Stegostoma tigrinum: one gene and its partners. The protein of the gene in region 2 purifies or fractionates together with the protein of the main gene of each other region. This does not show direct contact. Links are inferred from orthologs where the notes say so. Each region holds a gene or a part of one and is shown on either strand. Other genes may lie near its edges. The genes, in order: mphosph6, exosc9, exosc10 and dis3l.

Region 1 (7,789 bases), on a different chromosome or scaffold from region 2:
ATGGACTCAATGATGATAGAGCTCAAAATTTCAGAGCAAACAACAAAACAAAAGCATGTGCAACTTCTTCAGGCAGAAATGTCAAGTGAGTGTTCCATCTTGACCTCTTGCTATTCTCTTGACCGCAAGGAGGGCAAAAAAGATTTATCAGACTACTTACTGGAGCTTGACATATGGGGCACTATCACCTAACTGTAACAAAAACTTTATAGGGAACTTATGAAATTAAAATAACTTTGTCAGTGTCAATGATGCTGTCTAACCCCTGCCTTAAGTATGCATTGGTTGCAGAAGGCCTCATGTACATTATTGTACTCTTGCTCCATCTCAAGGGACACTCAGGCGTGGACGTAACCTTGGAAGATAGGCAGAGTAAACAACCCTCTTGATTGCCTGATAACAAAGTGTGGAGCTGGACGAACATAGCAGGCCAAGCAGCATCTCAGTAACACAAAACCTGACATTTCGGGCCTAGACCCTTCATCAGAGAGGGGGATGGGGAGAGGGAACTGGAATAAATAGGTAGAGAGGGGGAGGTGGACTGAAGATGGAGAGAAAAGAAGATAGGTGAAGAGGAGAGTATAAGTGAGGAGGTAGGGAGGGGATAGGTCAGTCCAGGAAAGACGGACAGGTCAAGGAGGCGGGATGAGGTGGTAGGTAGGAAATGGAGGTGTGGCTTGAGTTTGGAGGAAGGGATGGGTGAGAGGAAGAACAGGTTAGGGAAGCGGAGACAGGCTGGGCTGGTTTTGGGATGCAGTGGGGGGAGGGGAAGAACTGGGCTGGTTTTGGGATGTAGTGGAGGAAGGGGAGATTTTGAAGCTTGTAAAGTCCACATTGACACCATTGGGCTGCAGGATTCCCAAGCTGAATATGAGTTGCTGTTCCTGCAACCTTCGGGTGGCATCATTGTGGCACTGCAGGAGGCCCATAACGGACATGTCGTCTGAGGAATGGGAGGGGGAGTTAAAATGGTTCGCGACTGGGAGGTGCAGTTGTTTGTTGCGAACCGAGCGGAGGTGTTCTGCAAAGTGGTCCCCTAGCCTCCGCTTGGTTTCCACAATGTAGAGGGAGCCACACCGGGTACAATGGATGCAATATACCACATTGGCAGATGTGCAGGTGAACCTCTGCTTGATATGGAAGGACATCTTGAGGCCTGGGATAGGGGTGAGGGAGGAGGTGTGGGGGCAAGTGTAGCACTTCCTGCGGTTGCAGGGAAAGATGCCGGGTGTGGTGGGTTTGGAGGGCAGTGTGGAGCGGACAAGGGAGTCGCGGAGAGAGTGATCTCTCTGGAAGGCAGACAAGGGTGGGGATGGAAAAATGGCTTGGGTGGTGGGGTTGGATTGTAGATGGCGGAAGTGTCAGAGGATGATGCGTTGTATCTGGAGGTTGGTGGGGTGGTATGTGAGAACGAGGGGGATCCTCTTTGGGCGGTTGTGGCGGGGGAGGGGTGTGAGGGATGTGTTGCGGGAAATGCGGGAGGTACGGTCAAGGGCGTTCTCAACCACTGCGGGGGGAAAGTTGCGGTCCTGGAAGAACGTGGACATCTGGGATGTGCGGGAGTGGAATGCCTCATCCTGGGAGCAGATGCGGCGGAGGTGGAGGAATTGGGAAATGGGGATGGAATTTTTGCAGTAGGGTGGGTGGGAGGAGGTGTATTCTAGGTAGCTGTAGGAGTCAGTGGGCTTGAAATGGACATCAGTTTCTAGCTGGTTACCTGAGATGGAGACTAAGAGGTCCAGGAACGTGAGGGATGTGTTGGAGATGGCCCAGGTGAACTTGAGGTTGGGGTGGAAGGTGTTGGTGACGAGGATGAACTGTTCGAGCTCCTCTGGGGAGCAAGAGGTGGCACCGATACAGTCATCAATGTAACGGAGGAAGAGGTGGGGTTTGGGGTCTGTGTAGGTGTGGAAGAGGGACTGTTCCATGTAACCTCCAAAGAGGCAGGCAGAGCTTGGGCCCATGCGGGTACCCATGGCCACCCCCTTTGTCTGTAGGTGGTGGGAGGAATCGAAAGAGAAGTTGTTGAGGGTGAGGACGAGTTCGGCTAGGTTCCTCTTGACTGCCTGTTGCCTGGACTGTTCGCAAAACTGTTCCCAATCTTCCAAACACAGTCTGAATAAGGCTTTGAACAGCTGAAACAGAAGTTTTACCCCATTAGCCATGGGAAATACAGGGTTACAGGCAAAAGGTAGGAGGGTGGTGGTGGATCTTGGTGGGAAGCTCTTCCAAAGGTCGGCGTGGACTTAGTGGGCCGAATGGCTTATTTCCACATTGGAGGTGTTCTATAAATAACCTGAAATGATAATGGGGGCATCAAGCAGGTGACAACGTCAAGAAGTCAGCGTGAGAGAAAAATGCAACTCTACGTTTTGAGAAAGTAAACTTTTTGGTCCAGCAGTTGTCAACATTAAGATTTCCTGCCAATCAAAACTGCTGGTGTGTGCAGGAGGGGAAAGGAGGTAATACCACGAGTGAATTAATCAACCTCCACTGCTCCTCCTGTTGCTGCCGCCATTGCCCGGGGCCTACAGTCCAACATCGAGACGCGAAAATTACGAGTTGGAGATAGTAAGTACTGCCGATGCTGGAGTCAAAGGTAACACAGTGTGGAGCTGGATGAACACAGCAGGCTAGGCAGCAGCAAAGGAGCAGGAAAGTTTCGGAACAAAGAACAGAAGTTGCTGGAAAAGCTCAGGCAGCATCTGTGAAGGAAAAATAAAAATCAGAATTAACGCGGTGACCCTTCCTCAGAAAGTTTCGGGCCTGGACCCTTCTTCAGAAAAGAAGGTTTCAGAAAACCCACGAGTAGGCCTCGGGAGTTCAAACTTACCTTCATTTTCAGCAGGTTTTTCGATAATTTCATAGCGCTCTCTCTCGCCATTTTTGTGTGTGTTTTTTTTTGTTTATCTTTTTCTTGATTGTTTGGAGGAGGAATCGAAGAAACGCAAAAAGCGAAATAGACACCACACACCAGATTCGCCGGCGCTTCCTCCGTCCCGGGCAACACGTTGACAACGGACGCGACCAATCGATCGGACGAGTCCCAGCCGCTGCAGCCTGGCTAATCAATGGCCGGAAGCAGGATGCGGAGCTGTCCAACTGCTGCAAGATCTTCGCACAGGATGGCTCACCATCCAGCTCAGAGACAGCGGAGCTGACAGAGCAAAGTAAATTGTCCTGAGTATTTTTGTCAGCTGCCTCTTTTTCTTATCCGCAAACAGAAGACATACTCCCTAGAATCTGAAATAAAATGCTTGAAATCTGAAACAAGGGCAGAAATTGCTGGGCAAGTTCTGAAGAAGGGTCACCATATCATCATAACAAAGTGTGGAGCTGGATGAACACAGCCGGCCAAGCAGCATCTCAGGAGCACAAAAGCTGACGTTTCGGGCCGAGACCCTTCATCAGAGAATTGTTATCTTTGTTATCTTGGATTCTCCAGCATCTGCAGTTCCCATTATCACTCACCTTATCATCATGTCCTCTCTCCCCTGCCCCCACCCCCACCCCAGTGGGACTGACTGTTCCCCCCAATCTGGCAGTTGGACACATTATTGTTCTGCCATTCTCACATCCTGATCACTTAATCTGAACTATCAACATCTTTTCTCCCCCAGCGCCCTACACGCCAACTCCCACCCCCAACCAATGCATAAATCCTGCCCCCTCCACACTTCAGTCAGCTCTATTGAAGATTCAAAACATTATATATTCTCTCTCCATGGATGCTTCCTGACCCACGGTAATCTCCAGCATTTGTTTTTGTGTTCAGTTCTGAAGAAGGGTCACTGGATTGGAAACAGTCATTCTGCTTCTCTCTCCATAATTCCTTGAAAGTGAGGTCACAGGTGGGTAGGATAATAAAGAAGGCGTTTGGTGTACTTGCCTTTATTGGTCAGTCCATTGAGTATAGAAGTTGGGAGGTCATGTTGTGGCTGTAGAGGACATCGATTAGGCCACTTTTGCAATACTGCATTCAATTCTGGTCTCCCTACCATAGGAAGGATGTTGTAAAACTTGAAAGGGTTCAGAAAAGATTTACAAAGATGTTACTAGAGTTGGAAGGTTTGAGCTATAGGGAGAGGCTGAATAGACTGGGGTTATTTTCCATGGAGCATCAGGGGCTGAGGGGTGACCTTAAGCGGCATATAAAATCATGAGGGGCATGGCTAGGGTAAATCGACAGGATCTTTTCCCAAGGGTGGGAGAGTCCAAAACTAGAGGGCATAGGTTTAAAGTGAGAGGGGAAAGATTTGCTGCCACACCTGCTGAGTTTCTCCAGAAATTTCTGTTTTTCTCTCTTATAACCTGTATGTTTAAAACATTATTGTAACTGTTTGATGATTGGTAGACCCAAAAGGGTGCTAATCCTTCATCATAACTTCTATTACTTTCCAGATTATACTCCTATTGTACCCAACTGTTGTATGAAATAAGACAGTGAATGTGATTGATTGAGATGGAAATAATCAGACCAGCATGGAAAATGGAAAAAAAGTACAAAAGATTAGAGACTACAAAAAAAATCCCGCACCCCCACAAAAAAGGAGCAGGTGTAGGCACTGCAGCTTATCATTTAAGAGCAAAATAAACTCTAAGAATATATATTTATGGAAAATTTTGAAAGGAGCCTGATTGATATTGTTGAGAAGGGTCTAAAAAGATTTAACTACACTATTCAAGGGACATTGCTTTTGAAAATTAATGTTTGGTTATGAGAGAAGTAAATCCATGAAAGAACAACTGTCCGTAATCCTAAAGGAGTGAGCTTGATTGGCACAATGACTTTAGCTTGCAGCTTTCTGTATGCAACATTGGCCATTATAAAGCTTTTATCAATGCATCTTTAAAATGAACAACTTGTTGCCAAGGAGGGTATGAGACTAGCTGAGCAATATCTCTGACTTTTTTTTCTAGGAAGGAAGGGGTATCTCCATTCAGCAACTCCCACAGCAAATCTACATTTAATTGCACCATGGCATCATATATTGTTGTACACATTGATCAATATTCTGCAGTTGGTAATGAACCAGGGGCACTTGCCACTGACACTGAAAGTGCACAAGGATTGGCGATACATGTGATATCAGTTTCCCCTTCCCTTGTCAGAGTAATGGAATCTCTTGGCATGCTGCAACTTTGATTTAAGCAAGTAAGTAAGCACCCTTGCTGACCAGCAAGACAAGCTGCCTGGTAGAATGACTGCGCTAATTGATATGGCAAGACAACTGAGGGCCAAGCAAGGTATGGGTGTTGTTAGCATGCAGGTACCTGCTAAATGAGTGAATACTACAAGCAAAAGAGCAGCCCTGAGATACAGTGTAGTCCACTCCATGAGTCGATTGCCTGTGTGTGTACACAAAAAGTTCTTGCAGCAGTGTTTCAATGTTAGTTGCCCAGTGCACCCCGCAGCAAGTCTGTGCTTCCTAGAGGATAACAGGCTTGCTTGGAAGGAGCTCAAAAGTGGACTGAGGAGTGCCAGGAGGGGGCACGATAAAGGTTTGGCAGGAAGGATTAGGGAGAACCCGAAGGCATTTTACTCATACGTGAGGAATAAGAGAATGATCAGGGAGAAGGTAGGGCCGATCAGGGATAGCGTAGGGAACTTGTGCGTGGAGTCTGAGCAGATAGGGGAAGCCCTAAATGAGTTTTTTGCTTCGGTTTTCACTAAGGAAAGGGACCTTGTTGTGAATGAGAACTTTGAGGAGCAGGAAAACAGGCTTGAACAGATCAAGATTGAGGAAGTTGATGTGCTGGAAATTTTGGCAAACATTAAGATTGATAAGTCCCCAGGGCCAGACCAGATTTATCTTAGGTTTCTCCGGGTAGCGAGAAGGGAGGTTGCTAAGCCGCTGGCGAAGATCTTTGCTTCCTCACTCTCCACGGGAGTCGTACCGGAAGATTAGAGGGAGGCAAATGTTGTTCCTCTTTTCAAGAAAGGGAATAGGGAAATCCCTGGAAATTACAGTCCAGTCAGTCTTATGTCTGTGGTCAGCAAGGTTTTGGAAAGAATTCTGAGGGTTAGGATTTATGACTATTTGGAAAAGCATAGCATGATTAAAGGAAGTCAGCATGGCTTTGTGAGGGGCAGGTCATGCCTTACAAATCTTATTGAGTTCTTTGAGGAAGTCACGAGACAGGTTGACGAGGGTCGAGCAGTGGATGTGGTGTACATGGACTTCAGCAAGGCATTTGATAAGGTTCCCCACGGCAGGCTCATTCATAACGTCAGGAGGTATGGGATACAGGGCAATTTGGCTGTCTGGATTCAGAATTGGTTGGCTGACAGGAGGCAGAGAGTGGTTGTAGATGGTAAGTATTCTGCTTGGAGGTCAGTGCTGAGTGGTGTCCCACAAGGCTCTGTTCTTGGGCCTCTACTCTTTGTAGTTTTTATAAATAACTTGGATGAGAAGGTTGAGGGGTGGGTTAGTATGTTTGCTGATGACACAAAGGTTGGAGGTGCCGTTGATAGTATTGAGGCCTATTGCAGTCTTCAGCGAGACATTGACAGTATGCAGTGCTGGGCTGAGAAATGGCAGATGAAGCTCAACCCGGATAAATGCGAAGTGATGCATTTTGGAAGGTCAAACTTAAATGCTGAATATAGGATTAACGGCAGGATTCTCGGCAGTGTGGAGGAACAGCGGGATCTTGGTGTTCAAGTGCATAGCTCCCTCAAAGTTGCCACCCAGGTGGATAAGGCTGTTAAGAAAGCAGATGGTGTTTTGGCTTTCAGTAACAGGGGGATCGAGTTCAAGAGCCGCGAGGTTATGCTGCAGCTCTACAAAATCCTGTTGAGACCACACTTGGAATATTGTGTCCAGTTCTGGTCGCCCTATTATAGGAAAGATGTGGAGGCTTTGGAGAGGGTGCAAAGGAGGTTTACCAGGATTCTGCCTGGACTGGAGGGCTTGTCTTACGGGAGAGGTTGACTGAGCTCGGACTTTTCTCTCTAGAGAGAAGGAGGAGGAGAGGTGACCTGATCGAGGTGTACAAGGTAATGAGAGGAATGGATAGAGTCAGTAGCCAGAGACTTTTCCTCAGGGCAGGATTGACTGCCACGAGGGGTCATAGTTTTAAGGTGTTAGGGGGAAGGTATAGAGGAGATGTCAGAGGGAGGTTCTTCACGCAGACAGTTGTGAGCGCATGGAATAGTTTACCAGTGGTAGTCGTGGAAGCGGAGTCATTAGTGACATTTAAGCGACTGCTGGACATGCACGTGGACAGCAGTGAATTGAGGGGAATGTAGGTTAGGTTATTTTATTTTGGATTAGGATTATTCCATGGCACAACATCGTGGGCCGAAGGGCCTGTACTGTGCTGTACTTTTCTATGTTCTATGTTCTATGTTGTATGTTCCAAGCAGCCGACAAGTGGATTGGAGAGGCGCCATGATGAACACAAAGAGTTGGCAAATGTCCAATGCCAATGTCCATGGATAAGGGATGCATGTGACTGGAACCCATGGACCATCCCCTGAGATGCCATTTGGTGCTAAGCAACCTGGAGGCATGGAGCAACAGTGAGCTGAAATCACCAAGTACCTGCTCCAAAGCCCATGTTAAGATTTCTTAATGTCTAGCTTGTTCAGCACATTTGCAGTGCTAGGAAGCTAGTTGAGGTGAGTTGGGTCATGAACAAGGCATTTGAAAAGCAACAACCCCCTTAACTGGAAACTTGCCACTGTCTTAGTATAAAACTTGCCTTGATACACAAAAGATGCAGCAAGATGCTGCTGACATCGAGACAAGCCTCTGATTCTGTCACAAATTTCACCATGTAATAT
Region 2 (7,591 bases):
GGCTATAGCCACATACTTCTCCTTGCATTCGAACCAGTCCTGCCCTCACTCTAATTCTAAAAAGCTAGCCACCGGGATAGCATCTCTCAAGTTCAGGAGGTGGTGGTGGTGGTGGTGGTGGTGGTGGGGGGGGGGGGCCTCCTAGTGGCTGACGTCACCTACAGGAACGCTCCCCTGAGGCTGATCAATGTGTACGTCCCAGCGGTACGGAGTGAGCGGTTGGCCGTCCTGCAGCGGCTTCCACCCCTGCTGGCTACGTCCAGGCCGGTCATCCTGGGCGGAGACTTCAACTGCATCATCGATGCAGATGGAAGATCCGGCATGGGGACAGCGGGTGGGGGGAGTCAACTGGACGTCACGATTCCTGATGGACACGGTGAAGGACGCCAAGCTGGTCGACGTCTTCAGCACCCCTGCAGACGGAGCGCAGCGGAGGTATACCTGGTCGCGGCGTCTCCAAATTGGGGTTCGGGCAGGGCATCCGCAATTAGATCCGGCTGCTCTACACCAACATCGTTAGCGCAGTCTCGATCAACGGGTGGGAATCGGACAGTTTTCCCGTCAGATCTGGAGTCAGGCAGGGCTGCCCGCTCTCTCCTGCCTCGTTCGTGTGCTGTGTGGAGCCCTTCGCGCATCCATCAGGAAGGACGTGAGCCTGAAGGGCGTGACTATCCCAGGCAGCGGAGGCCTTCAGATCAAGACCTCCCTGTACATAGACGATGTCGCCGTCTTCTGCACCGATCGTCGGTCGGTGAGTAGACTGTTGGACATCTGCGGCCAGTTTGAACTGGCCTCGGCTGCCAAAGTCAATAGGGGTAAGAGCGAGGTCATGTTCTTCGGGAACTGGGACGACTGCTCCTTCATCCCCTTCACCGTCAGGACAGACTACCTGAAGGTGCTGGGTGTTTGGTCTGGTGGAGCTGGGGCGTGCACTAAGACTTGGGAGGAGCGTACCACCAAATTGAAGCAGAAGCTGGGCAGGTGGATGCTCCGGTCCCTCTCCATCGCGGGTAAGAACCTGGTTGTCAGGTGTGAGGGTCTTTCGGTACTGTTGTATGTGGCGCAGGCCTGGCCTATTCCCTGGACCTGCGCCACTGCGGTCACCCGGGCCATCTTCCACTTCGTTTGAGGGTCGAGGATGGACCAGGTCGGCAGGGACACCATGTACAAAGACCTGGAAAACAGGGGAAAGGGCGTCCCAAACGCCACCCTCGCTCTGACGGCTACCTTTGTGTGCGGCTGCATCAAGCTGTGCATAGATCCTCAGTACGCAAACACCAAGTGTCACTACTTACTGAGGTTCTACCTGTCCCCGGTGTTGCGAAGGATGGGCCTGGCCTCGTAGCCGCGGTATGCTCCGAGTAGTTGGACCGTCCCGTACCACCTGTCCTTCGTGGAGAAATTTTTGAAGGGAAACACCTTTGACCACAAGGCCGTCAGGCAGTGGTCAGCACGTAGTGTCCTCGAGACCCTTCAGGAAAAGGAGAGGGTGGATCCCGTCGTGTGGTTCCCAATGCAGAATGCCTCATCGCCAGAACTTTCAAACAAGCACAAGGACGTTGCTTGGCTGGCGGTGAGAGGGGCTCTGCCAGTGAGATCCTTTATGCATGCCCGGAATCTCTGCGCCACCGCACGCTGCCCTCGAGGTGGCTGTGGGGGGGACGAGACTGTCGATCACCTCCTTCTGGAGTGTGCCTATGCGCAGGAGGTCTGCAGGGGGATGCAGTGGTATTTGTCGAGGTTCGTCCCGAGCAGCTCCGTGACGCGGGACTCCGTGCTCTACGGGCTGTTTCCCGGGACGCACACCGAGACCAACATCAACTGCGCCTGGAGGACCATCAATGCGGTGAAAGACGCTCTTTGGTCTGCCCGCAACTTGCTGGTCTGCCAGCTGGAAGAACTGACCCCGACTGAGTGTTGCAGGCTGGCGCACTCCAAGGTCCAGGACTACGTGCTGAGGGACGCGCTAAAGCTTGGGGCAGCCGCCGCCAAGGCGCAGTGGGGAAAGACCACCATATGAGACCCCTCATCCAGAATAGAAAAAAGGGCCCTATCTGGTAACTGGGCCCAGCTGGCACCTTCCCCAACTGGTCAGGGGCCAACGGGGACTGCGCAGGGAGGTGACTGCCAGGCTATTTTCTTTGCTTTTTTTTTCTTTGTTTTGTTTTTTGCCTTTAGTTGGTGTACGTACCCCCTGGGTAAACCGGAGCGGCTTGCATGACTGGGTAGGTGTATAAATAGGTTTTATTTTTTTGTACATCTTATGAATAAAGTATATTTTTTCAAATTTTAAAAAAAAGTGACGAAACGTCTAAAACTAACCTTCCAGCTCAGCGAGCAAACTCACATCCAGAACCTCAACCTGAGCTACAAATCTTCTCAAAACTCGCTATACAGCCCAATGCTCATGCCAACACAACATCCCATTTCATCTCCACTCCTTCACTGTGTATTGGTACATGCCTGTGCAGACGAGGTCCTACTACCTCACAATGGAACACCCCGGCACCGGCACACCGCACCACATCCCCCACTCCCCAAAACAGGGCCCTAAAACAGACTCAAGTGTCCGACGTCAACAAAAACTGATGCTCAGCACATTGGGCTGAGATTTAAAAACTGGATCCTCGCTCGTTTAATACCTGTTTCTCGGCGAGAGCCTGAAGAATAAATTGTCTCTCACAATTTGATAACGGAATCTCCCTCATTTCGAAACGGCCACTACCTCGAGACTTTACAGATTTAGAGATTCCGGCGCTGCCATGACATCATCAACCTGCGACTCAAAACCAAGACGCGTCCGAGCCTCTCAGCGCGAAAGTGACGAGTCGCTGTCCACGGACATCACTGGAGCAGTGATCAGGAGTTCGGCCGGGATAGTGATCAGGAAAGCTTAGTATGGAGCTATGCAAGAGCTAGGGCTGGGATAGTGATCAGGAGCTGGATATGGATCATGACCAAAGATAGGGTTGGAGCAGCGAGCAGGAGCTGCGATTGAGACGCTGGGCATAGCAGTAACGACCAGGAGGTGCTTTTAGAAAAGTGGGCGTGTGCTAGAAAAGTGTCATTAAGTTTGGTCGAGTTCAGGGCAGGGGCTTGGAATGGTACAGTGGGCAGGAGTTGGGGAATGGGACACTGAACAGCAGCTGGGAATGGAAGTGTGCAGGTGCTTGGAATGCAGTAGCAAGATTGAATTGTGAATAGAATGATGAGCAGGAGCAGGAAATGGGAATAGAACAGTGAGCAGGAGCTGGACATGAGACAGTGGTCAGGGCCTGTTTCCACACTGTTGGGATTCTATGAAAAAGTTCTTACATAAACTACACAAATCTTTTGGGTACATTTTCATGGAGGAAAATGTTAAAATCCTCCTAGAAGTAATGATGAATCTAGGGGTTTGTGTAAATGATGTACTACAAGATATTACTATCACATTAAAAAGAAAAATAGAGAACTTAATGGAATTTCAAATGTAGGTATGCCCAGGTTCAGATGATCTATATCACAGACAGTTGAAAGAGGTGACTGTAAAAGTAGTAGATGATTTGTGGTCATCTTTCAAAATTCTGAGACTCTAGAATCAATGCTGCAGATTTGAAGTTGCCATATGTAACCCTACAATTCAAGAAAGGAAGGAGATAGAATGTGGGGAACCTGTTAGCTCAACAGCATCAGTATTAAGGAAAATGCTAAAATCTGTAATAAAGAATACGATAACAAGACAGTTAAAATGTAATGGTTAGACTGGGCAGAGTCAGCATGGATTTATGAAAGGTACATCATTGTTGCCAAACTAGTTGGAGCTTCTTCAATATGTAGCTGTCAGAATAGATAAAGGGGTACTGGTATTTATTGTCTATTTAAATTTCTGGAAGGCTTTCAATAAAGTCTCACACAGGAGGTGTAAACAAAATTAGAGCGCATGATATAGGGGACAAATACAGACATGCATTGTGAACTGATTAAGACAGAAAACAGATTAGAAACGCTCATTTTTGTGTTGGCACATTGTGAGCAGTGAGGTACTGCAAGGATTAGTATTTGGCCCCAGCTATTTATAAGAAATATTCATGATTTTGGATCTGTGGATTAAATGTAATATTTCCAAGTCTGAAGATGACTTATAATGAAGATGCGCTTCAGGGGGATTTAAAGAGGCCAATTGAGTGATCAAAAATTCAGTGGATGGAATATAATGTAGAGAAATTTGAAGTTATACGATTTGGTATGGGTATGAAGTCATACTCCACAAAGGAGCCTTTTCATTGCTTTTCATTCGAGTGCAACAATTAGTTATGTTTAATTTGAGGGTACCACACTACAGCATGGAGTAAGGTAAGCAAGCAGGCAGGCCTCCAAGAGCAATCCAATTTGGTAGAAAACTAAAACGCAGAATATATCTTCAAAGGTCAGAAGTTGGGAAGCATTGAACTTCAGAAGGATCTGTCCTTGTTCATGAATCACTGAAAGTTAACATGCTGGTATAACAAGCAACTGAGAAGAAAAATGGTAATTTTGGCCTTTATTAGAAGAGGAATTGAATATAAGAGTAACAATGTCTAACTGCAATAATATCAAGCCTTGGTGAGGGCTCTTGTGACAGTGTCAGTGTCTCTACCTCTGGCCAAATCTAGGTTCAAATACCACCTGCCTGGATGGAGTGTCATAACTTATCCAAACAGGTTGATTAGGCTTACTATCGGGCTTTGGTGAGACCACACTTTGGAGTATGAGAATGACTGCATAATGCTTGATTAGTCTGTGCGGACAGCTTTCCCAATTTTGACAGAGTTCCTGAGTTAATGAGGAGTGCTTGACAGATTGATTGGGCAGGGTATGTCAATGTCATGTTTGTATCCATTGCTAATATCTGGCAGCTCGTTCAGCTTTATTCTCTCCAGATCTGCCAGTCAGTGGTGAGTCTATTTTAATTGTGCAATCAAAAAAGAACTCAGTGCCCCCAGAGACTATATTTCTTGTCCCAGTTTCATGAGTGAGCCTAGGATAAACCCTGTAGTAAAGATTTATAGGCAGTGCAGAAGAACTGAAGCACATGCCCCTTGTGACTGGGAAAGTCTATAAAGGTTGAAAATAGCAATATAGAAACTAGGAGAAAGAGTAGACTATTCAGTCCTTTCAGCCTATTCTACCATTCATGGCTTGATTGTCTATCTTAACCACAAATTCCTGCTTTCTCTACATACCCCTTTATGCCTTTAATATATAAAAAAAATCTCCTTGAATATACTCAGTGACCTGGCATTTACAGCCTTCTGTGATAGCAAATTCCACAGGTTCACCACTCTTTAGTGAAGAAATGTTTCCTCAATGTCAGTCCAAAAAGGATCTACCCCTGGTCCTGAGATTGATCCCCAGCCACAGTAAACATCCTCCTTCAGTCTAATCAGTCCTCCCTGACAGAATTTTATACATTTCAATTGGATCCCCTCTCATTCTTCTAAACTGTAGCGAACATGGGTTCTGTTGAATCAATCTCAACTCATATAACAGTCCAGCCAACATGGGTATCAGTTAAGTGGACATTTGCTGCACTCCATCCCTGGCAAATGTACCTTTTCCTAGGTAGGGAGACCAAAACTGCATACAATACTCCAGATAATAAAATGTGAGGCTGGATGAACACAGCAGGCCAAGCAGCATCTCAGGAGCACAAAAGCTGACGTTTCGGGCCTAGACCCTTCATCAGAGAGGGGGATGGGGGGAGGGAACTGGAATAAATAGGGAGAGAGGGGGAGGCGGACCGCCCCTCTCTCCCTATTTATTCCAGTTCCCTCCCCCCATCCCCCTCTCTGATGAAGGGTCTAGGCCCGAAACGTCAGCTTTTGTGCTCCTGAGATGCTGCTTGGCCTGCTGTGTTCATCCAGCCTCACATTTTATTATCTTGGAATCTCCAGCATCTGCAGTTCCCATTATCTCTGATACTACAATACTCCAGATGTCATTTCATCAAGTCCCTGCATGACTGCAGTAAGACAACTACTTCTGAACTCAAGTTCTCTTAAAATGAATATATCACTTGCTTTCCTAATTGCTTGCTTGCTACACCTGCCTGTTTATTTTCACTGGTACAAGGACACCCAGATCCCTTTGTACATCCACATTTCCCAATGTCATCACTGAAATAAAATTCTGCCTGTGTATTCTCACACCAAAGTGTATAACTTCACATTTATCCACGTTATGTTGCATCTGCCATATGTTTACCCACAAGCATCCCAAGTTTCATCAGTTAGCCGACTGTTTCAAAGTTTTCTGGCATTCCTGAACTACGCAGGTTTTAAAATTGTTTTGTTTTCTTTTACACTTTATGTTACATAACAATTGTATGTTACTTAGCTACTTGCATGCAGAAAATGTCAGTATAATGGGTGTTCCAGAAGCAAAGGACTCATAATCTCACAGATGAAGATCTAAATAGGCTTCTGAGTGAAGCAAAAGTGAGACATCACTGTATCCTTGGAAACAGAAAAACAAAAGTATTCAAGAAAATAAGCAACTTAGCTTGAAGGTAGTACAAGAAATGTGTGAAACAATGCCACATTAAACTAAACAAATTGGGGTGATCTGCCACAGTATGTACATAAAATTTCTTGTTAAAAACTATCACTCCGACTTGAGCACTGAAGACACAAAAAATGAGTTTTTTTTTAACTCGTTTTACAAAGTTGTATACTGTAGCTTCTTTGGAGGTGAATCTGACTTTAACATTAATAGTTATTTCTAATTTGAATCCTTTTTGAGAGTAGCCTATAATCAGTATTCACAAAATATTGCATATAAGAACACAGAAGGAGCCAGCATCATTTTTAAAATTTTGATTTGTTTGTTTAAGGGAAGATGTGTTGTGCTCACAAATGCTCTGTGGGTGATGTGTCATTCATAAAGAATCTTTCTGAACAGGCAGAATGTACTAGGTAGCTTTTAGTGATTTCCAAGCCCATACTTTCCCAATAGTCAATTGGATGTGAGTTCAAGCTAAGGTGATGTTGTCAGCAGCAGAGTTCAGTTATATGATGAATAGAATGTGAATGTTTTTCTCTGACAGGTCCATGTTGTCCCTGGACATCTAAGGTGTTGATGAAGGTGAGCTGTAGGCTGTGTCTGAGGGTCTTGATAGGATTGCTGCAGAAGAAAGGGAGCCAAGATTTCAGAGTATTGATATTTTTAATCAAACTGTTAAGACTTGTAATGAGAGACAGCGGCACTTGAACCTGGACATGGAATTCTGTAATTTAATGAGGCAATCATGACATTTCCACGGGTCCAATTCTAGATTTTTTTTATTATTAACTTGTTCAGATGTTTGGAGCAGGTGGGACTTAAACCTGATCCTTCCTGCTCAGAGGTAGGGACATTACCACTGCACCACAAGAGTCCCAGGAAGCCAGTATGTACAACAGTACTAGAGGTGGATGTCAACTATCACATAATGGATCAAGAATATGAGAAATCTATGTGCAAAGGCAACGGTGATCGTGCTGACGAGATTCTGGTCTTCATTTAAACTTTTAGGTTGTCAAAGGTGGTGATATCTGTGACGCTATGGCCACTGCAGAAGAAAAGCCATCAG
Region 3 (7,634 bases), on a different chromosome or scaffold from region 2:
ACCTGAAATGTCAGCTTTCCTGCTGCTCTGATCCTGCTTGGCCTGCTGTGTTCATCCAGCTCTACACCTTGTTTTTTCAAAACCATGTGCCGTTTTGGTATTCTTATTTGAGGAGTAATATAAATCTGCTGGAAGTAGTTTGGCAAGATTTACTAGATTGATACCTGGTAGAAGTGGGTTGTCTTATGAGGATAGGCTGGGCTTGTTTTGACTGGAATTTAGAAGGGTAAGTAGTGAATATTCTTGACAAAATCGATGTTGAAATGATATTTCTTCTAGTAGGAAAATTGAGAATTAGGTGATATGAATTTAAAAATTATGAGTTATCCTTTTCGGACAGACGAGAAGAATTTTGTTCTCTTGAGTGTTTAACAACTTGGAACTCTGTCTCAGAAGTTGGTGTAAGTGGGAGCACTGAATATCTTTAAGGCAGGGACAGATTGATTTTCTTACCTTACAAGAACTCAAAGTTAGTGGAAGTAAGTGGGAAAACAGATTCAAAACATAAACAGATGAGCTATGATGTTATTGAAATGGACAGCAGGGTTGAGGTGCCAAATGGCACTGCGTTGCTGGAATAGCAAGAACTGCAGATGCTGGAGTCAGAGATAACAAAATGTGGAGTTGGAGGAACACAGCAGGCCAGGCAGCATCAAATGAGCAGGAAAGTTGACTTTTGGGGTCAGAACCCTTCTTCAGATGTTCCTCTGATGCTGCCTAGTCTGCTGTGTTCCTCCAGTTCCACACTTTGGCCCCATGCTGCTCCTATTTTGTATGTGTGTGGAAAATAAAGCAGAACAAAATCAAAGCGGTTTCAGCTAGACACTATTAATTATAGGGTGATGAGAAGGAAGTTGATCTCAGATTCAAATGACAATCAATTGCCTCTCAAAAAGCAGAAAATGAACTCGGAGTTGGAAATAAACTAAATGTCAGAAATGATCTCTGTTGTTTTGTATATAATTTATAATGTAAACAATTACAGTAAGTCAAAGTATTTCTGGCATCACTTTGAGGCAGAGATGGTGTAATGATAACATCAGCGGAGTAGAAATCCAAAAACACAGACATAGGCTTGGGTTTAAGTGGATTTAAAATCAATTGATAGATCGGGGATATAAAACTAATCCCAGTAACAGAGAAGCAAGACTACCATTAAGCATGTAATTAACTTCCTCCCCTCCACTGAGTGCAGCAGTTCAACCAGACACTAACACCACACACAGCCCATTGAACAAATAAAGGGAGTTTATGTTTACTGAGGATAATTTGCATGCAATTTCAATTCCACAAACATGGTTGCTTCTTGACTGCTCTTGGAACTAACCCAGTCAATTGCTCAATTAGATGAAATCACTAAAAAGAAGTGACTGAAAAACAAATTCCAACACTGTTTTCTGATGACAGCTTGACAATCAATACTTGGGTTAACGATTTCGATAAGGACAAATTATTTAGTTTATACCTCGGCACAATTATTGACAACAAAAATAGAAATTGCTGGGAAAACTCAGTCCTGGCAGCATCGATGAGAGAAAGCAGAGTTAACATTTTCGGTTCAATGACCCTTCTTCAGAACTGAACGCAGCTGGGAACTGGTTGGTATATCTGTGTCAGAGGTATCATGGATGTATGTGGGCAGGGATTAAACCTGGGGAGAGAAGACTAGGTCAAGGTAGGTACAGATGAGTTCTGTAGGGCAGGAGCAGGTTGAAACAAGGGGTCTGCCCAGACAGTCCAGTTTGTGGTTTTTTGGAAAGAGGTATGAGGAGGTAGGTGTATTCACCATTCCTCCTAACCTTCCAATCTCCGATGCTAAATGCTCTGCACACAGCAAAGGCCTCAGTTTTATTCCTCTGTATCCCAACCTTAACAAACTTGAGGCACGACATGACGTCAAACTCTTCTTCTGCCATCTTCGCCTCCATGCCCATTTCTTTAGACAAGCGTCTTCTCCCCTTCGCCCAGTCTGGTCTTTTACCTAAGTTTGATCTGTTCCTGGAGAACTGTCAACGTGATATTGACACCTCAATTTCTCTGCCTCCCTCACCAAATCCAACCTATCTCCGACATTAACCTAGCTACCATCAGTTCTGAGGAAGAGTCAATGGACCCAAAACATCAACTCTGATTCTTTGCTTCACAGACACTGCCTGACCTGCTGTGCTTTTCTGGCACCTTCTGTTCTCATTCTTGATTTACAGCAACCACAATTTTTTTTGGTTTATAAGGTTAATGACTGTTGTGAATACAATAGCCCAATGTTGGATGGAAGACTTATGGTCCAGAGGGAGAAGGAAGGCACCTGAGAGCTAGTGCTCAGCATGCCAGACAACAGCAGCACCACAATGGCTAGACTACAAAGTCAGGACTGAATTGGAGAACACAAATTGCAGTCAGTTCTTGGTGGGGGAGGGGAGTGGGGTTCGAGGGCAGAGAAATTGAAACGGCCAAAGTCACGTCCCAATCTTGAGCTGCTGCCTGATCAGAGATAGTAGGAACTGCAGATGCTGGAGAGTCTGAGATAACAAGGTGTCATTTCTGAAGAAGGGCCCAGACCAGAAACAGCAGCTTTCCTGCTCCTCTGATGCTGCTTGGCCTGATGTGTTCATCCAGCTCTACACGTTTCATTTATGTATCGCTCATGACCATCCCTGTTGTGCTCTCCTGGTCGGACGGCAGCACAGTGCATACAGTCGGGGGGGGCGAAGAAGTGAAGGCACATGATGTCTCGTGGCAACAGATCCAGCAAGAGAGAGAACACATCTTAATGACGGCCTCCCATCGCCCTCCCTGGGCTGATGATGTCTCCTCCGTGTTGAAGAACACACGAAGGAAGGAGAAGAGACAGGGATCCCGCCCCCAGCACCCGCATACAACAGCGCCAACCTTCACGAAGCTATCCGCGTCACTAAATCCCGGGATGGGGCCGTCACCGTTGAGAGGCCTCTCTCCCGGATCCTGATGCTCCTCCGCACAGCCCTGCGCCGCCATTTTGCCGACTGACAAACTCTCGCGCAGGGGTGGGACGGAGAGGGAGAGACTCTCGCGAGGCTCGGGAAATGCCTAACCACGCCCCCCAGCGGAAGGGACTGAGCCGCCCCGGCTGGCGGCTGGCACGTGGGGACAATACGTGGGCGGGCGCAGACTGGCGCGTCACGTGGTGTCGGCGCGTCACGTGGAGGACAATCCCGCGCTGACTGAGGAGGCGCGTGTTGGAGAGCCCTGGTGCAATGTGCCTGTGCCATGGTGGTAGTGTTCCCACATCTGAGCCAAGAAGCTCAAGTCTGTCCTTCTCCAGAGGTGTGTAAATAATGTCTCTCAAACAGAGGAAAAAGGGTCCAGATCAGCTTTCCTGCTCCTCTGATGCTGCTGGGACTGCTGTGTTCACGCAGCTCCAAACAGCCTGATCGGAAAGAATGTGGTCTCCAGCCTGGCCCCTGTGCGTGCTGACCCATTCCCTGATCACATTTCCCTGGTGCTCACTGTTCCGTGGCAGTGCTGCGTTTGGGGCAGCACAGTGGCTCAGTGGTTAGCACCGCTGCCTCACAGCGCCAGGGACCCGGGTTCGATTCCACCCTCAGGTGGCTGTCGTTGCAGAGTTCGCACATTCTGCCGGTGTCTGGGTGGGTTTCCTCCGGGCGCTCCGGTTCCTCTCACAGTCCAAAGACGTGCAGGCTAGGTGGATTGGCCATGCTAAATTGCCCCATAGTGTTCAGAGATTTGTAGATTAGATGGGTTTTTAGGGGGATGTGTCTGGTTGGGATGCTCCAAGGGTTGGTGTGGACTTGTTTGGCTGAAGGGCCTGTTCCACACTGTAATGATTCTTTGATTATTGGAGATGCTGTCTTCTGAATGTGAGGTTCTTGAAACCTGCAATGCTAGTGTTGTAAGTGGAGCTAGAAGCTCTCGTGAGTGATCTGAGCAGCAAAACCTATTCCTTGGCTAACAATCCAAAGAATCTGATATGGTGAACGTAGGAACAGGAGTAGGCCAGTCAGGCTCCAAGCCTGCTCCATCATTCAATAAGATTATGGCTGGCATGTGCCCTAACTCAACTACTCGGCTTGCGCCCATATTTCCTCATTACCCTTACTTGAAAAAAATAGTTTCAGATTTAAATTTACAATTGAATTAGCATTAACCACTGTTTTGGGCAGAGAGTTCCAAACCTCCACGAACCCTCGCATGTTGAAGTTGTGATATCATAAACAGCTCTCACTTTGTTTACAAACTTGCTGATGACATCACCCTCACGGGTCAGATCTCAATGCTGAGACAGTACAGACAAGTGATAGACAGCTTAGTGATCTGGTGTAAATACAACATTTTCTGCTTCAATAGCAGTAAAACCAAGGAGTTGGCCATTGACTTTAGGAAGCACAGCAGAGGACACATCCCTGTCTGTGTTAATAGTACTGAGGTGGAGGTGGTCAAGAGTTTCAAGTTCCCAGGAGTGAATATCACAAATAATCTGTCCTGGTCCATCCACGTCATTGCCTCAGTCAAGAAAGCACACCAATGCCTCTAGTTCCTCAGAAGGCTAAGGAAATTCTGCATGTCCATTAATGACTTACCAATTTTTATAGATGCACCATAGAAAGCATTCTATCTGGACTCATCATAGGTTGACATGGCAACTGCTCTGCCCAAGGCCGCAAAAAAAACAGGGTTGTAATTGCGGTCCAGTCCATCATGAAAACCAGCCTTCCATTCATTGAGTCCATCCACACTTCCCGCTGTTTTGGGAAAGCAGCCAAAATAATTAGAGACACTCCCCAACAGTGATTTATTCTCTCTTCCATGCTCTTCTATTGGGTAGAAAATACAGAAGTTTGAAACCTTTTTCCCTATTGTTAACAGACTTATGAACTAATCTCTCATATATTACAGGTGATCTTTCTCTGCACTTTCTCTGTAACAGTAACACTATATTATGCATTCTGTTCTAATACCATGATGTACTTATGTAAGGCATTAGTCTGGTTAGCAATGCAAAACAATACTTTTCACTGTACCTTTGCACAGTTGACTAATAATTCAAATCAACCTTGAGAACTTTAATAACTATTCGTGGATTGAAAGAATCAACAAAGATTAATTATACATGGAAAGAAGCAGCAATAATGGTGTCTGAAATAAACTGAAATGAAGAAAAAACTTGTCACAGAGATAGTAGGAACTGCTGATGCTGGAGAATCAGAGCTAACACGATGTGAAGCTGGCTGAACACAGCGGGCCAAGCAGCATCAGAGGAACAGGAAAGCTTGACGTTTCAGGTCAGGACCCTTCTTCAGAAATGGGGGAGGGGAAGGGGACTCTGAAATAAATAGGGAGACGGGGGGAGGCGGATAGAAGATTGATAAAGGAGAAGATAGGGTGAGAGGAAACAGACAGGTCAAAGAGACGGGGTTAGAGCCAGTGAAGGTGAATGTAGGTGGGGAGTTGGGGGGGGATAGGTCAGTCCAGGGAGGACGGGCAGGTCAGGGGGCGGGATGAGGTTAGTGGGTAGGGGATGGGGTGGGGCTTGAGGTGGGAGGAATGGTTAGGGAGGTGGGGACTAGTTGGGCTGGTTTTGGCATGTGGTCGGGGGAGAGGATATTTTGAAGCTTGTGAAATATAATATTTGGTGGGGGACCCGGGTTAAGAGCTTCCACTGCGGGATGATGCATCAAGATGTCTCCGCCCAGCATCTTGCTGCTCTCCACTGGGGGATGCTCCACCAAACTTGTACAGTTTTGAAAGCAATTAGCCATGTCTGTGAGAGGAGTTGAAGTTACATAAACAAAACTGTTTTGTCAATTGCATGATGAATGGCTGAGTCAAACCTTACGGAGAACTGATTGCATTGCAGAAGAATTTAATGAGTTATATACAGGAAAGCTGTGTCTTCAACCTGAAAATTAATACCAAATGTAACATGGAATGGGGAAGCTACTTTTGATAATAACACAGGCTGCAGATTTGTAATACTTTGGATGAAAGAATCATCAATACTATTACATCGTGGTCCTGAAGGATGAGAATCTGTATAAGAATCTAACACCAGAACTATTTATCAGCAGAACTTCAAAGGACAACACTGCACAAGCATCGAACCCTGGCTGCTTCCAGAGACAGACATTGTTGGTTGGATTGTAGCTAAATTCCACCATTAATCAGGTAATAGCCAAGAGTTGTGAGGTTTAATTTGCTTACTTTAGGCAGGTTGTTTTGGTTACTGTGTGGAACAACGTTTAAATCATTGTTTCGGTACTTGATTGTCTGTTAGATTTCTTAAAGTAGCTGAATTAAGGGAAATTTGTGGTGATTTGCCCACACCAAAGTATTTTCTAACACCTCCTAATTTTTAGGCTATAACCCTTAATTCTAGAATCTCCCATCATTGGAAATAGTTTGTCTTTGTCTACCCTGCTTTTCCTAGTTAATATCTGATTAGATCATCTTTTAACCATCTAAATTCCAGAGAATCTAATTTCTGTCCTTGCAACTTACTCCCTGAAGTTCGGATATCATCCTTATAAACCTGCATTGAGTTCTCTCAAGGACCAAAACATCCTTCCTAAGGTGTAGTCCCCAGATCAGTTCACAGTAGTGTAAGTGGGTTCTAACTACAGCATAACGTTGTCATCTCTATACTCCAGCACTTTAGATCTGAAAGCCAGCATTCCAATAGAATTAGATATTATCATCACATGTACTCAAGTACAGGGAAACAGGAGTACAGTGAGACATTCACAGTGCCACCTTAGGTACAGGGTGCCTAGCTACAAAATTTTAGGTAAAAAGTAGAAAAATAAAGAATTAAGTTAAAAATTCAACATTACAGTTCTTGTCAGTATAAAGTAGTAAATAAAAAATAAAGTTAAAAGTTCAATTTACAATCCTTCTTTAGCCAGGGGCCTGCAGTCACTCCATGCTGGGTGTTCCCTGCAAGGGCTCAGTCTCTCAATCCCATGCCTCCAAGTTGTCATCCACGTCACAGGTCACCAGTGTCCCACTTCGGTGCTTCTCTGGGACCGCAGCTGCTTCCGCGATGCCACCAATCACCACAGTTTTGCCTGGGCATGCCAACCGCATCTTGGCCAACTGCCAAAGACCCACTCAGGCCTCCCAACAGCTGCCAATGCTGCTGCTCCCTCCATGACCAAGCTCCCTCCAGAAGGTAAGTAAAGAAAAAAAAACTATAAAAAGGAAAATGTGAGAAAGGAAGAAAGAGAAGCAGTCGGAGCTGACGAGCTGCGGCTCAGGAGCCCTGCTCCACTGCCGTCTTGGATAAGGCTTCTTGACTATTTTCTGCACCTGTTCAGAGTATTTTCAAAATCTATGCACTTGAACCCTGAGATCTCATTGGGCATCTTGTGGCTTTCCGAGGCCATGAAAGTCTCTAAATGAATGCAAGCTTTATTTACTACTATCACATTTTTTATACAGGTTTTTGCCCATCAATGGATCTGATGTTTGGCTGAGCCTGAAATATCAACATTTCCTTTACAAATATTTTGTGACCTGCTGTATGTTAAATTACTTTCCATTTTGTTTTACATGCTTGCTGGTTCTGTCGTTTCCGTGGCACCTGAGTTGGAATCCTGCATTTTAATAAATTTTCGAATCATTCACTTGTGGAGTCATCT
Region 4 (7,291 bases), on a different chromosome or scaffold from region 2:
CGTTACATGTACCATGCACATGTTACTTTCTGAAGAAGTTATATCCATTTCAATGGATTTGCTTGATCTTCAACGAAAGGTGCACAATTCCGAACCAGCAGCGCCCTCAGTCGTTTATGATTTGAAATTAAAGGGAACCATTCAGCCCTGAAAGTGTCCAGCACGTCCATCAATCATCACTTCACAGAGAAAGAAAGGTTATCTGTGTGGTCAGGATCATCAAGAAAATTAACCTTTCCTTCTGGCTCAGATGCTGATCGATTTGCTGCATGTGATCTGCCAGACAAAATCGACGCTAATTTACCTAACAAAGAAAACTAACCATTCATAGGGCAACATTTCGGGAGCCCCAGTTATTTCACAACATGAATGAGCGGACTGCTGTGGTGTTTTCTTGCACCTGCAAGTATAGTTAGCGCATCTGCCCCTTTTGTTTTGCTCCATTAAAGATGTGGAGAAAGAACCATGACAGCTTAGGGTTAGTACAAATTATTTTTAAAGAAAGATTGACGATTTTTAGAAGTTTAGAAGCAACGTACACATTTTTATTGGGATGGGAGATATGTGCTGGCAGTTCCACGACACCAAGGTTTTGTTTTTCAGAATGTGAGGGATGCAGGTCGTTAATGCTGGGAAACAATTCTCTTTGATGTCAATTTTACATCAAGCATCATGAAATGGTCCAAATTCTGAGTAAAGCTCTACTTAATTCAAGAAAAAGAAACCGTGCCTTCAATTAAACCAATCTTTGTACGTTTGAATATTTCAGTTCATTGCTTTCTACTGTATTTTCTAGTAAGATTGAGCCATAAGCTTTTGATGTAAGACAACAAAGTGTGGAGTTGGATGAACCCAGCAGGTCAAGCAGCATCTCAGGAGCACAAAAGCTGACGTTTCGGGCTTAGACCCTTCATCAGAAAAGGGGGATGGGGAGAGGGTTCTGGAATAAATAGGGACAGAAGGGGAGGTGGACTGAAGATGGAGAGAAAAAGAGATAGGTGGAGAGGAGAGAATAGGTAGGCAAGGGGTAGGTCAGTCCAGGGAAGACGGGCAGGTCAAGGAAGTGGGATGAGGTTAGTAGGTAGGAAATGGAGGTGCGGCTTGCGGTGGGAGGAAGGGATAGGTGAGAGGAAGAACAGGTTAGGGAGGTGGGGATAAGTTGGGCTGGTTTTGGGTTGCAGTGGGGGGAGGAGACAAGCTGGGCTGGTTTTGGGATGCAGTGGGGGAAGGGGAGATTTTGAAGCTGGTGAAGTCCACATTGATACCATTGGGCTGCAGGGTTCCCAAGCAGAATATGAGTTGCTGTTCCTGCAACCTTCGGGTGGCATCATTGTGGCACTGCAGGAGGCTCATGATGGACATGTCGTCTAAGGAATGGGAGAAGGAGATAAAATGGTTTGTGACTGGGAGGTGCAGTTGTTTATTGCGAACTGAGTGGAGGTGTTCTGCAAAGCGGTCCCCAAGCCTCCACTTGGTTTCCCCAATGTAGAGGAAGCCACACCGGGAACAGTGGATACAGTATACCACATTGGCAGATGTGCAGGTGAACCTCTGCTTAATATGGAAAGTCATCTTGGGGCCTGGGATGGTGGTGAGGGAGGAGGTGTGGGGGCAAGTGTAGCACTTCCTGCGGTTGCAGGGGAAGGTGTCGGGTGTGGTGGTGTTGGAGGGGAGTGTGGAGCGAACAAGGGAGTCACAGAGAGGGTGGTCTCTCCGGAAGGCAGACTAAACCAAGCAGAGGCTTGGGGACCGCTTTGCAGAACACCTCAGCTCGGTTCACAATAAACAACTGCACCTCCCAGTCACGAACCGTTTTATCTCCTTCTCCCATTCTTTAGATGGCATGTCCATCATGGGCCTCCTGCAGTGCCACAATGATGCCACCTGAAGGTTGCAGGAACAGCAACTCATATTCTGCTTGGGAACCCTGCAGCCCAATGGTATCAATGTGGACTTCACAAGCTTCAAAATCTCCCCTTCCCCCACTGCATCCCAAAACCAGCCCAGCTCGTCCCCTCTGCCCACTGCATCCCAAAACCAGCCCAGCTTATCCCCACCTCCCTAACCTGTTCTTCCTCTCACCTATCCCTTCCTCCCACCTCAAGCCACACCTCCATTTCCTACCTACTAACCTCATCCCACCTCCTTGACCTGTCTGTCTTCCCTGGACTGACCTATCCCCTCCCTACCTATTCTCTCCTCTCCACCTATCTCCATTTCTCTCCATCTTCGGTCCACCTCCCCCTCTCTCCCTATTTATTCCAGAACCCTCTCCCCATCCCTCTTTTCTGATGAAGAGTCTAGGCCTGAAACGTCAGCTTTTGTGCTCCTGAGATGCTGCTTGACCTGCTGTGTTCATCCAGCTCCACACTTTGTTGTCCTGGTTTCTCCAGCACCTGCAGTCCCCATTATCTCTGATCACAGCTTTTGATGTAAGACTGGTACTGATGTGAAGATGTTTAAGGTGTTGTATGAGGTAAGCGTAGCGACATGATTTGGGAATCAAACTTGACCTGAATATCGAAAGTAACTGAAACCACCCAAGAGTAGCATTTCATGCCATGATTTACACTTAAGGCAGTTCAGCTTGTGTCTGTTATGAACTTGGAAATATAGGAACAGGAGTAGGCCATTCGGGCTGTTCTGTTCAATGAGATCATGGCTGCTGTATAGCTTAACTCCTTTTGGCCTTTGTCCCTTAATATCTTTGCTGAATAAAAATGCATCTAAAAATAACAATTGATCCACTGCAGTTTATGGAGGAGAGTTCCAAACCTCTACCATTCTTTGTGTGTGCAAGTGTTTTCCACCATCTCCCCTGAACGGTCTGGCCCTAATTCTCAGCCTATGTCCTCTGGTTCTCGAATCACTGACCAGGGCAATATCTTGACCTACCCTGTCTTTTCTAGTTAATATATTGAAGACTTCAATGGGATCACTCCTAATCTTCCAAATTCTGGAAAAAAAGGCCTAATTTGTCTAATCTTTCCTCATATAGTAGCCACTGGTCCAGGTTTCATTCTTGTATACCTATGTTGTACTCCCTCCAAGGCGAAGATATCCTTCCTCAGGTGTTGTGCGCAGATCTGCTCACAGTATTCCAACTGGGGTCGAACCAGTATAACAGCAACATAACTTCTGCCATCTTATTCTCCAGTCCGCTGGTTTTAAATGTTAGCATGCCGTTAGCTTTCTTCATTATTCTCTGTACGTGTTCATTGCGTTTTAAGCTCGGGTAAATGGAACTGTTTCAGTTTCGGAAACCCAGGCAGGGGGCGGACTAAAGGGTTTTTTTCGTGTTGTATGACTCTATGCACCCCAAGTCTCTTTGGACAGCCATTGTATTTAAATTAATAGCATCTAGAAAGTTCCAGTCCAAATTTGAAAAAGAAATTATAATCATTATTACATGAGAGGAACGCAATTTTTTCCCTTCTAAGAAACCGTAATCACCGAGAATGGAGGTCTGGAGATTCATGTAAGCACATATGCACAGAACTCCCTCAGTCACATAATTATTTAAGACTCGTACTAGGAGCATAAAGTATCCTAATGATATTACCTCTTTTGTTTATACATTCCACTTTTATTTAGATCTAATGTTATCTCTAGAATGATTCATGGATTTTCAACCAGTTTATTCGACATTTTTTACTGCAAATCTCCGAGTGGCATCTTCCTGCAGTAACATTGAATACCGTGTGAGAATCTTCGACATCTTCAAGGCTATGTATTGCGATCAAGAGATCAGTTTGCTACAAAGTCGAGAAACTCCCCGATATTCAGTGAGACCCAATTCTGAGCAGAGTTGCTAATGTAGGAAAGTACTTTCTCTAAAAAGGGAGTAATATAATCAAAAAGAAACAGACAGATCTGAAATTCGTTAAAGTGGGGTGATTTGTTTCATGTTAACAGTCAAGCACACAAACAGTAGGTTACCTTTACGTGGAGATAGCAGGAACTGCAGATGCTGGAGAATCTGAAATAACAAGGTGTAGAACTGGATGAGCACAGCGCCAAGCAGCATCAGAGAAGCAGGAAAGCTGACGTTTCGGGCCTAGACCTCTTTTCAGAAACGTCAGCCTTCCTGCTCCTCTGATGCAGCTTGGCCTGCTGTGTTCATCCTGCTCTACATCTTGTTACCTTTTATTTGGAAATGTGTAACACATTCAGATTGCAAGGAGCAGTTCAGTTTGCGCATGCGCTCCTAGTCCATCACTTTGCCCCGCAGTGCAACCCTTTGCCCCGCAGCACCGAATTACATTTCCGGTTCACACGCGGGGGAAGCTGTCAGGTTGAGGCGGGCGGAAAATGGGCGCTAGGAAGGCAGGAGGTGTTTGTTCGAGTTGTTTACATCCGCGGAGCGTGGTCTTCCTGGGGCTTGTCGGAGAATTGAGTTCGAGAAGAAAAGTAATCGCTTAATGGCTCCTCCGCTTGTTTACAACAGTGTAATGATAAAAACGGAGAAGGTGCTGCACCTGAGGAGCTGCAAAGGGAAATCAGTTCGAGTTGTGAGGGAGCATTACCTCAGGCAGTCGGTTCCCTGTAACAGTTCCCTGTGCCAGGCTGAGTGCTACAATGGTAAAGTATGGCCGAGCGGGTACAGTCATCTACAAAGCAGAACTCTCAACGATATTAAAACTCATGGAGAAAAGAAAATATTGCATTTATATCACATTTTTCTGGCGGTTTCAAAGTGTTTTATAACCAATGAAGTACTTAGAAATGTGGCCACTGATGTAGGAAACACAGCAGCCAATTTGCACTCAACAAGATCCCAAAACAGCAGTTCCTGTCCAGAAAATCTCTTCCCGATGTTGATTGAACATAGATATTGGCCACGATGGCAGGGAGAACTTCCCTGCTGTTCTGTGAAGTAGAGCTTGTGGGATCTTTTATATCCACCTGAAAGATGACACCTCTGACAGTGCAGCACTTTCTCAAGTACTGTACTGGGAGTGTCGGCCTGGATTGAGTAGTCGAGCTTCTGATGTGGGACTTGAACATACAACCTCCTGACTCAGAGGTGAGATAATGCTACCTATTGAACCACAGTTGACATTGTAAAAATTGAATAAAATAATACTCAAAAATATTCAGGATGAGGATAGAACTGAACTCCTAATATAGAAGGAATTTTATATATCTTTCATTTCCTGTGAACATCCCAAAGATATATACAATTGAATTAAGTTTGAAGTACAGTGAGTATGCAAGTAAATTCTCACTTAGAAATATCTCTCAGATGTAATTGGACAATCTGCAACTGAGGTTAGTTGAGGGAAAATACTGCCCAGGATATTGAGAGAGCTCCTTGTTTCTTCTAATAGTGCCATGGGATCTTTTATTTTCATATGAACATTGAAATAGTAACTAAATATCTCACCTGAATATCAGTGTTACTTTTGCAACTAACGTACTGTCTTTTATGCTACTTGCTTAATTCTGCGTTAACTTAATGTTTCAGAAGGGAAATTGTTGTCAGAAAGTGCAACTCATTATGTGATACCTGACTGGAAAGTGGTGCAGGATTATTTGGAGATACTTGAGTTTCCAGAATTGAGAGGCATTGTCTTCATGCAGACAGCTTGTCAGGCTGTCCAACACCAGAAGGGACGCAGGTTTGTGATGGCTATCTATCTTTAATATTTGATGGATTTAAAGATCACGCAAAGCACTGGTCAGTTACTGAATCAAACAGTTAAAGCTTGAGCACTATGATTATTTAACTATGGCCTGTGATTTGTAACTCATAATATTTGATCAAAAACAGAAGTTGCAGGAAAAGCTCAGCAGGTCTGGCAGCATCTGCAAAGAAAAGGCCAGAGCTTCTGTTTCTGACTTACAGTGTCTGCAGTTCTTTTGGTTTCTGTAATATTTGATTTTTATCTTGATTTTTAAAATTACTTGCAGTGAATAACAGCAGTTTGCAACAATACATATTTGGTGTAAAATCAGCATGTCTGTTGTCAATGGCCAACTGACTGAGGGCTGATATGGCCTGTGACAAACATGGTGCATTTGTTGACTAACTGTAGAAAGATCAACATTGTGTTCTTCCACTTCCAAATGCAATTTGAAGGTGAAGGCAACACCAGCAAACAGGTCAGAATGTGACAAGTTCCCAGTGAACTAAAAGCAGCAGGTTTTCAAGGGTGAAAGAAGTTCACAAAATGATAAAGGAAACAGCTGATATTTAGGTCCAAGGTATCGAGCTGGATGAACACAGCAGGCCAAGCAGCATCATAGGAGCAGCAGAGCTCCTATGATGCTGCTTGGCTTGCTGTGTTCATCCAGCTCTACACCTTGTTGTCTCAGATTCTCCAGCATCTGCAGTTCCTACTATCTCTGATATTTATGTCCTGAGGTTTATAGTTGGAGTGACCTCAAACCTCCCGGTAATTATAATGAAAACTAACTAACTATTACTTGAAGGCATTCTACCTTTGTACAGAATTATATAGATGCTGTTTTCTTGTTCTCATATGTGGTTAAGTATGTTGATGTTGTTATATCATCTGGCAAATCACAAACTCTCCTCCATAAACTGCAGTAGACCAATAAATGCTGTGATCGGAGGGGAAACTCTGGAGAATTCCTGTACAATATTTCTTTATTGATAAGCTCGTGGAAGGATCCTAGGTGCATGACTACTGTTTTGCAGTGCTTTAAATTTATGGAGCTATAGAGTTATACAGCACAGAAACAGATACCTTGGATCAACTTGTCTGTGCCAACCAGATATCCTAAACTGATCTAATTCCATTTGCTAACATTTGGCCCATATCCCTCTAAACACTTGCAATTCATGTACCCATCCATATGCCTTGTAAATGTTGTTATTGTACTCAACTCACCCACCTCCTCTGGCAGCACATTTCATACACGCACCACCCTATGAGTGAAAAAGTTGCCCCTTGGATCCCTTTTGCATCTTTCCTCTCTCACTTTAAACCTATGTCCTCAATTTTGGACTCCCTTACCCTGGGAAAAAGACCTTGGCCTTTCACCCTATCCATGCCCCTCATGATTTTATAAACCTCTATAAAGTCACTTCTCAGCCTCCAGCGGTACAGAGGAAAATACTCCAGCCTATTCAGCTTCACCTTATAGCTCCAACCCTCCAATCCCAGCAACATCCTTACAAATCTTTTTTGAACCTTATCAAATTTAACAACATCTTTCCTATAACAGGAAGACCAGAATTGAATGCAATATTCTGAAAGTGGCCTCACCAATATCCTGTACAGCTGCACCATGATGTACACGAATGCTGTACTCAGTGCATGGC

What was found.
Region 1: the proteins of exosc9 (region 2) and mphosph6 purify together in Homo sapiens (affinity purification with mass spectrometry; 5 studies listed by BioGRID and IntAct, with this or other methods). This does not show direct contact. The link is inferred for Stegostoma tigrinum from reciprocal best matches to the Homo sapiens genes EXOSC9 and MPHOSPH6.
Region 3: the proteins of exosc9 (region 2) and exosc10 purify together in Homo sapiens (co-immunoprecipitation; 7 studies listed by BioGRID and IntAct, with this or other methods). This does not show direct contact. The link is inferred for Stegostoma tigrinum from reciprocal best matches to the Homo sapiens genes EXOSC9 and EXOSC10.
Region 4: the proteins of exosc9 (region 2) and dis3l purify together in Homo sapiens (affinity purification with mass spectrometry; 3 studies listed by BioGRID and IntAct, with this or other methods). This does not show direct contact. The link is inferred for Stegostoma tigrinum from reciprocal best matches to the Homo sapiens genes EXOSC9 and DIS3L.

The regions. Positions count from the first base shown.
Region 1 is NC_081369.1:46,663,126-46,670,914, forward strand, and holds the start of mphosph6 (M-phase phosphoprotein 6), read right to left. Parts: upstream 3,021-7,789; 5' UTR 2,885-3,020; coding exon 2,834-2,884; intron 1-2,833. UniProt on the Homo sapiens protein: RNA-binding protein that associates with the RNA exosome complex. Involved in the 3'-processing of the 7S pre-RNA to the mature 5.8S rRNA and play a role in recruiting the RNA exosome complex to pre-rRNA; this function may include C1D.
Region 2 is NC_081354.1:36,852,835-36,860,425, forward strand, and holds the start of exosc9 (exosome complex component RRP45), read right to left. Parts: upstream 3,011-7,591; 5' UTR 2,709-3,010; coding exon 2,643-2,708; intron 1-2,642. UniProt on the Homo sapiens protein: Non-catalytic component of the RNA exosome complex which has 3'->5' exoribonuclease activity and participates in a multitude of cellular RNA processing and degradation events.
Region 3 is NC_081381.1:39,422,233-39,429,866, reverse strand, and holds the start of exosc10 (exosome component 10), read right to left. Parts: upstream 3,018-7,634; 5' UTR 2,995-3,017; coding exon 2,890-2,994; intron 1-2,889. UniProt on the Homo sapiens protein: Catalytic component of the RNA exosome complex which has 3'->5' exoribonuclease activity and participates in a multitude of cellular RNA processing and degradation events.
Region 4 is NC_081386.1:34,950,606-34,957,896, reverse strand, and holds the start of dis3l (DIS3-like exonuclease 1), read left to right. Parts: upstream 1-4,291; 5' UTR 4,292-4,421; coding exon 4,422-4,581; exon of another isoform or gene 4,582-5,026; intron 5,027-5,467; coding exon 5,468-5,621; intron 5,622-7,291. UniProt on the Homo sapiens protein: Catalytic component of the RNA exosome complex which has 3'->5' exoribonuclease activity and participates in a multitude of cellular RNA processing and degradation events.